2 linked regions of the Sus scrofa genome follow. The protein of the gene in region 1 purifies or fractionates together with the protein of each later gene. This does not show direct contact. Links are inferred from orthologs where the notes say so. Each region holds a gene or a part of one and is shown on either strand. Other genes may lie near its edges. The genes, in order: RHEB and RPTOR.

Region 1 (3,881 bases):
GCCAAGCGACCTGCGCCTCGCGCCTTTTAAGGGCTCTGCGAGCGCGAGTCCATCAACCGCTCAGCGTTCTACCAATCACCTCACCTCTCAATCTTTCCCCGCCCCTTCCCCCGATCTAACCAATCACTAGGAAGCTGGCGTCCCTCCGCCCCTCCCACCCGCCTCCAGACGTTCGAAGCCTGCAAAGCTCACTAACGCCCAAACGCGGGCTGAGCGTCGGAATTTATTTTTAGCTCCCGGGCAAGCAGCCCCGCCTCTGGCTCCGCCTCTTCACCGCCCCCAATGGGAGAAGGAGTTTCCGCCGCGTCATCGCGCGGGCGGGTGGGAACTGTCCAATCAGCGCTCGGGGAAAACTGGCGTAATTAAAAAGCGGCGGAAGCCGGTGGGAGGGTCATGACGCAGCGAGTTTCAGTCGTGACTTTTCTAGGGGCATTTCGGCGTCTCCTGTTTTTCCCTTTAAAGTAAAACGCCTGCCCGGCGCACCCCTGTGCGTCTCGGGGACGGGGGCGGCCGCAGCGGCGGAAGGGCGACGCTGACGCGAGCCGCTGCAGGGGGGCGGCCCCGGCGGCCGCGCGCGGTCACGTGGGCGTGTTTGGGGGCGGGGCCGCGCGGCGGTTCCGGGCGGTTGAGCGCGCGAGCCAGGAGCCAAGGCAGCCGCGCCCGCCCGCCCCGCCCCTGGATGCCGCTCTGCCCCGGCGCGGCAGCCGCCGATCGCAGCACAGGAGCCGCCGCCGCCGCCGCGGTTGATGTGGTTGGCCCGGGGCTTGTGAGGCCGCCAAGATGCCGCAGTCCAAGTCCCGGAAGATCGCGATCCTGGGCTACCGGTCTGTGGGTGAGTGGCGGGCGCCGCGCGGCCTCCTCGAGCCAGGGCCCGGCCTCGCCTGGGGGCCGGGACGCGGCGGGCCGGGCCAAGTTTGGGGCCGGCGCGGCCATGTGGCGGCCGCGCGTTTCGTAACCAGCGGTCCGCCGCCGCCACCTCCATTTTGAGCGGAGGCGGCGGCGAGGCCGGGCCCGTGGGGCGGCGGGCGGCCCGGGAGCGGGGAGGACGTGTCTGGGAGGCCTCGGGCGGACGGGGAGTTCCGGCGGTCCCGCGCCGGGCACGCGGTGCGGGGTCTACCGCTCTGCCAAACTGCCGCGAGGCCCCCCAAAGGCAGAAGTCGCACCTGTCCCTCTTCACCTCGCCGCGGCGAGCTGTCGTGATCGTTGCTGGCCTTTGCACCCCCCAAATTCAAGTCCGTGGGGTTTTAACAAAGGAAACTGTGCCTTGGGGTTTTTTTCCTATGCGTGAAGTTCAACGTTTTAAAGGAAACTGGGGACCTAGAGGACGTTTGGCTACAGAGGGCAAGTTTCCTACGAAAGAAACCCAAGAGCCCTCTTCGGAAGCCTCCTGGATGCTGCCAGCGGCCGAAGTAGAAAAGCAGGGAAAGAGAAATTTCTGCTTTCTCGGTGTCCTATTTTTCTACGGGAAAAAATAAGGTCAGGTACTTGTAACCAGGCTGGTGAAGTGATTCAAAAGTTACCCCCCCACCCCGCCGCCGCCGCCACTGAACAAGATTGACATATATCTGTAACTGTTCCTGACAGTAGCTTTTTAGCCTAACGGAGGTGGTCTGGGGTGGGATGGGGGTAGACCGGGTGCCAGAAAACGAGAAAACAGCCGTTGACCTAACCATGCTTTAGGGTGAGGCTTTATTGTCTTTGACAACCGGAAGCCTGGAGAAATTACGATTATCTTTTCGTGTTGTTTTTAAGAACTGTTTAAGGGAAATGTGCACTTGACCGCGGGGTGGGGGGGCGGCTGCCGGGTGAAAGCGGGTGTTTGGAGTCTGTGGTGATTGCAGAAGGAGGTAACGGTAACTGCCCTAGGAACGCTTTTCACCGCCAACTCCCCGACCTCGCTTTCTGTTCTGCTTCTTCACCCCCATTTTCCACGGCCGGTGCCAGGGTCTATGCTCTTTGACCAACATCAGCTACAGCGTGCTTACTCATCCTTTTATCATCCCTCTCCGGTCAAAGGGGTGGGGGTGGGGGGAATCAGGGGCTGAGAGGTGCTTGTGTAGTGAGAAGGGGCGCCCAGAGTCATAGGGGTAACTCTGGTACGGTGCAGTGCCAGATGTGTGGAGAAGAGTAGGTGGCAGCCGTAACAGCTGCAGCTGGGAAGTACCGTGTATCAAATTGAGGCTTTCAAAGTCTACACAGCCCCAAGTGCCCATGTGGAACCTGGCATCCAACCTCTGTTGGCAGCTTAAATCACCTAGCCCTGGCTTGTCCGTGGTCTTTAGTTCCTCCCCTGGCTTGTGAAGAGAGGGGGGACCGTGACATATCCTGGCTCTTGAGTGAGTTCTAGCTAATCAGATACATAGCGCCCACTAATTAAAGGTAGCAGTTACAGGTGACTTGAACCCGAATAATCAAGTTACAGGTGATAAGTACCTGGGCTCCCTGATTTCAGCGGAAGAGAGATTCTTGGTGGTGGTTCTGTTCTTCAGTGAATAAGCCTCGCATTTGCTCTCACTGTTTTGCTAAAGAAGTTCCTCGTATCCAACTAAAACCTGTTCTTTTTGTATCTTCCTTCTAGCCGTCATCCTCTTAGAGACCCAGATGAGACAGGTCACCCCTTTGTCTTCTCTTTTCAACTGCTGTTAGTTAAAGTATTGTACTAAAGCAGCCTCCAGTGGGGTGCAAGGTATATTTGGTCCCTATTTTTTGTGCCTTCAATATGTTATACTGCTTGTAGCCCACTCAGTTGTCTCCATATTTGTTTTCACATGGGGTGATGATTAAAGTGAAATGTATTTTAGAAGTTCCCCTGTAGGTCAGTGGGTTAAGAACCCGACCAGTATCCATAAGGACGCGGTTTCTATCCCTGGCCTCGCCCAGTGGGTTAAGATCTGGCGTGGTTGTGGCGTTGTGGCATAGGCCGGCAGCTGCAGCTCCACATTCAGCCCCTTGTCTGGGAACTTCCATATGGTGAGGGTGCAGCCCTAAGAAGGGGAAAGGAAAAAATAAGTAAAGCGAAACGTATTTTGCAGAGGTTAAATTATTCCCAATCTTTGCCTTTGCTTTTGCATTTGATCACCTTTGTTGTGAACCAGGACATTTGTAGCTTGTGGGGTCTTTTGTTTTGCCAGCGTCAAAAAGGGAAGTAATCCCCTGATTGCATGTACTAATAACCACTCTCCAGAGAATGAGTCAGTATTCAGACTTAGCAGTTTGGTGACACGTTTGCTTGCAAATGGTGCTGTACTGGAGAAATTTGAGTATGTGTATTTCTCGGTTGTGTTATTTTGTAATGCTAAGCTGTCGTGTCATATTGACTAAGGGTAAAGAGTGGCAGGAAAAGGCTAAGCTAGAAACCACACCTTTCTTAGAATGTTCGCTTGATTAAACGTGCCAGTTTGACTAGTAGAATACTTCTCATTGTGACATTGTCATGTCATAAACTTTATTTTAAAAGTTTGCTGTCAGGGGAGTTCCTGTCGTGATTCAACGGTTTTCGAATCTGACTAGCATCCATGAGGACGCAGGTTCGATCCCTGGCCTTGCCCCATGGGTTAAGGATCCAGCATTGCCGAGAGCTGTGGTATAGGTCACAGCTGTGGCTTGGATCTCAAGTTGCTGTGGCTGTTGTGTAGGCCAGCAACTATAGCTCTGATTCAACCCCTATCCTGGGAACTTCCATATACTATGGGTTCAGGCCCAAAAAGACCAAAAAAAGAAAAGTTTGCCTTCAAATAAAACTGCTAAATACAATGATTGTTTTACTACTTGGATTTCAAATTTTGTGATTTTTAAAAACATTGATAAAACTACCAGTGAGGAAAATTAAATTCTCAGGTAACTTATACAACTTTTTTTCCGGAAGTACTTTTCCTGTTATT
Region 2 (3,802 bases), on another chromosome or scaffold:
CCGTTTTTGTTTCAAACTGCGGGATTGCCTGGGCCACACTGGTATTGTGTTGGTTGTTAAGTTTTCTGTAATTTCCTTTTTCTTTTTTTTAGGGCCACCCCCGAAGCATATGGAGGTTCCCAGGCCAGGGGTCGAATCGGAGCTGTAGCTGCCAGCCCACACCACAGCCACGGCAACGTGGGATCCAAGCTGAGTCTGCAACCTACACCACAGCTCACAGCAACGCCAGATCCTTAACCCACTGAGGGAGGCCAGGGATTGAACCTGCGCCCTCATGGTTCCTCGTCGGATTCCTTCCCGCTGTGCCACAACGGGAACTCCTATGGTTTTCTCTCTGAACGTAGGCACAGCGTCCCTAACTGCGGAGCAGTTAGTCCAGAGAGGCAGGGTGCTCTGTACGTAGCCAGTCCGAGGGCCCCTGGAGCGTCACCCCTCGGAGGTCCAGGCGCCACCCTTCTCTCGGGGGTCACCCCGCCTTTGAGGCACCAGCCACCCTAACGGGCCTGCTCCAGGTTTCTTCCCACCAGAGAGGTGGCCCCGCCATAGCGCCAGCCCTTTCTGACTGCTCACCCTGGCTGTCCAGAGCCAGCAGGCCCGTCCGCGTCCCGGAAGGAACTTGGCCCCGGGGATCACCAGCAGCTGAGCAGTGACACGCTTGCTTAACGTTTCCTCCTCCCTGCTTTTTTATTTGTGTTTGTATTTTTTGTCTTTTTGTCTTTTGAGGGCCGCACCCACGGCATATGGAGGTTCCCAGGCTAGGGGTCTAATCACAGCTACAGCTGCCTGAGCCACAGCCACACCAGACCCGAGCCTCGTCTGCGACCCACACCACAGCTCACAGCAAGAGGATCCTTAACCCACTAAGTGAGCCCGGGGACCAAACCCACAGCCTCATGGTTCCTCGTCGGATTCGTTAACCACGGAGCCACGCCGGGAGCTCCCTCCCCTTCTCTGTTTTAAAAACTCACAACAAAGCCACTCCATCCTAGAGGGCGTCTCAGGCTGGTGCAGACCCTCCCTGGGGGACGGTCAGGCCTGAGCAGGACCCCGGGAGGAAGGGCCCGGACGGAACTTGTTTCCAGCCTGCCCCAAAATGCAGCACAGCAGCCAGGGCCCGGAGGGGGGGCCTCCTCCCCACCTCGGACCCCACTCCCCACCTCAGACCCCACTCCCCACCTCGGACCCCACTCCCCACCTCGGACCCCACTCCCCACCTCGGACCCCACTCCCCGTGAGTCCCGGCTCAGCTCTGTGACAGCGTTTCAAGGGCCTGTCCCTGGAGCCTCACTGGACCAGGCGAATACCTTCCAGAAAAGGAGGCCTCACTGTCTGCAGGGCGACTGCAGCGGTGGCGGTGCCGCGTCCTCGCCCACAGGCCTTTTCTGCCTCCTGGAAGCCGCACAAAGCAGCTCCCGCCTGGACTTGTGTCGTGCCCCGGCGGCATCACCGCGACTGCCAGCTGACTTGCCCCTTTGCCCCCCAGGCCACAATGAACGCCCGGCCCCAGCGCATCCTCACCGCCTCCTCGCTCACGCAGTCGGCACCCGCCAGCCCCACCAACAAGGGCATCCACATCCACCAGGCGGGGTAAGTGGGGCGGCCTGCTCCGGGCCTGGGAGGCTCACGGACGCCCCTCCCTCGTGCCCCCGCTCCAGCCCGCAGACGCTCCCCCACATCTGAGCCGCTTCCCAGGGCCCTCTCCTACCTTCGTCTGCAGCGCTGCGAGCAGAACCTGACCCCCCCATCCCCGTGGGTGCCAGCCGGTGGCACCCTCCTCTTAATCAGGGTCCACATGGCCGAGCACTGAGTCCCGGGGGCAGACGTGCCCGCACCCTGCCTGAGCGCCCGGCCGACTCGCAGTCCTGGCCGAGCTGGCCCCCCGCCTGCGCAGTTTTCAGGGGAGACGGTCCTTAGAACCTCTCCCCAGGCAGAAGCTAGAAGGGCCGTTAACTCAGCGTCGGCAGCTGGGCTTTGGCCGTCACGGCAGCACTGGGCAACTGAGGACGTTCCAAGCTGATGGCACTGGGCCGTGGGCAGGATCTGGGGATGGGGGCACTACCAGCAGAGGTTGCTTAGGGGTTCGTTTCAAAGGGACGGGCTCTGGGTGAAACAGCGTTTCTCCTTCCCCGACGGCAGAGGCTCCCCGCCGACGTCCAGCACCAGCAGCTCCAGCCTGACCAACGACGTGGCCAAGCAGCCGGTCAGCCGAGACCTGCCGCCAGGCCGGCCGGGCGCCGCGGGCCCTGTGGGGGTGCAGTACACGCCCCACTCCCACCAGTTCCCCCGCACACGCAAGATGTTCGACAAGGGCCCGGACCAGGTACGGATGCTCACGGCTCGGGCGCTGCGGGCCCTCCTCGGAGCCCGGCTGCCCCCTTGTCCTGGCTTCGCTCGTCCTGGCAGCTCCCAGGTGGCAGCGCGTGGAGCCTTTCCCTTCCCGGTGAACAGCGTCAGCCTCCACCCCGCGTGGCGGCCCCTCCGCGGAAGCGTCCGTGCTGACGGTGCTTTGCTTTTTCCATCAACGCCGAGCACGCCTCTCAGGCCGCGCGGCTCTGCCCCTGAGCTGACCCAGACGTTTCGGGAAGGGGAGGAGCTGGCACCGTGTCGGGGCTCTGAGAAGCCCTAACAGGGTGGGCACCGCCGTCCAGCCAGGCGCCGTCTAGAGAGGGCGTCCTGGACGTGCGGGGATGACTCAGCTCGCCAGGGACCAGCGTGTGTCGCGGCTGCCTGGAGCTGGAAGCGGGCGTTGAGGGCGGACAGGTGACCACACCTGCTGCTGGCCCCGCCCACCCGGCATCTGTGGGATTTTCCGCGGAGGGAGCCTCCCCGGGTGGGGGCTCCTCTGTGAGGCGCTTCCCGTGCCGGCCACGAGCGGGGCAGGCAGGCTCGGTGCGTGTGTGACCGGCCTGGTCGGCGCAGAGGCCGCAGGACCAGGTAGCAGAGGCCTTGTGGGGGTGCTTCCCAGCCACCTCGGCCAGCCCCCGGGAGGCTCGGGCTCTGACGGTCGGGGTTCCCTGGTCACCAGAGCCACAGGTGAGGGAGCATGGAGTTGTCCCAGAGGCCCGAGCCCCCAGCCGCCTTGCTTCCGGGGACGGCCACTCCACAGCTCGCGAGGAGGCCCGGGACGCGGTGGCTGACTCTGCTCTGTGCTCTCTCCCCCTTTCCAAACGCCTGAAGACTGCCGACGACCCGGACGACACTGCGGGGCACAAGAGCTTCATCTCGGCCACGATGCAGACGGGCTTCTGCGACTGGAGCGCGCGGTACTTTGCCCAGCCCGTCATGAAGGTAGTGTGTGGCGGCTCCCGGGCCCCGCCGGCCCGCTCGCGGCGACCCTCGGGCCCCACGAGCCAGGGGGCGGCTCCGGGGCTGCACGGGGCCTGCTGTGCCAGCCGGCCTCCTGGCCCCCCCACTGCACTGCCGTCGGGTGGCTGGCATTACCACTTAGAAAAGCACTGCCTTGGCCTTCCTGCCGACTCTAAACAAGTCTGCCTTTCCCGAGCTTGCCACCGTGACGTGTGCCCTTTGGTCTTGATTGGCAAGGTCATCCGTGCCGTCCCCAGGCCTCGGGGGCTGCTCCCCACTGCGGGCCTGTCGGACGAAGCTGGCTGGCCTTCGGAAAGACCCGTCCGGGGCCTGGGGTTCACCTGCCTTCCAGCTTTGACCCTGCGAGGTCATGACGTGGTGTGTGTCCTGTTGCCGCAGAGGCGCAGGCCGCTCGTTCAGGGCGACAGGTGGGACAGGGCACGCGGTAGGGGCAGAATCCCTCATGCCCGTCCCTGTGCAGGGCGCGCTGTCAGGC

The links.
Region 2: the proteins of RHEB (region 1) and RPTOR purify together in Homo sapiens (affinity purification with western blotting, with the first as the bait; 3 studies listed by BioGRID). This does not show direct contact. The link is inferred for Sus scrofa from reciprocal best matches to the Homo sapiens genes RHEB and RPTOR.

What each region holds. Positions count from the first base shown.
Region 1 is NC_010460.4:5,778,659-5,782,539, forward strand, and holds the start of RHEB (GTP-binding protein Rheb), read left to right. Parts: upstream 1-780; coding exon 781-832; intron 833-3,881. UniProt on the Homo sapiens protein: Small GTPase that acts as an allosteric activator of the canonical mTORC1 complex, an evolutionarily conserved central nutrient sensor that stimulates anabolic reactions and macromolecule biosynthesis to promote cellular biomass generation and growth.
Region 2 is NC_010454.4:1,733,179-1,736,980, reverse strand, and holds part of RPTOR (regulatory-associated protein of mTOR), read left to right. Parts: intron 1-1,483; coding exon 1,484-1,587; intron 1,588-2,136; coding exon 2,137-2,320; intron 2,321-3,177; coding exon 3,178-3,288; intron 3,289-3,802. UniProt on the Homo sapiens protein: Component of the mechanistic target of rapamycin complex 1 (mTORC1), an evolutionarily conserved central nutrient sensor that stimulates anabolic reactions and macromolecule biosynthesis to promote cellular biomass generation and growth.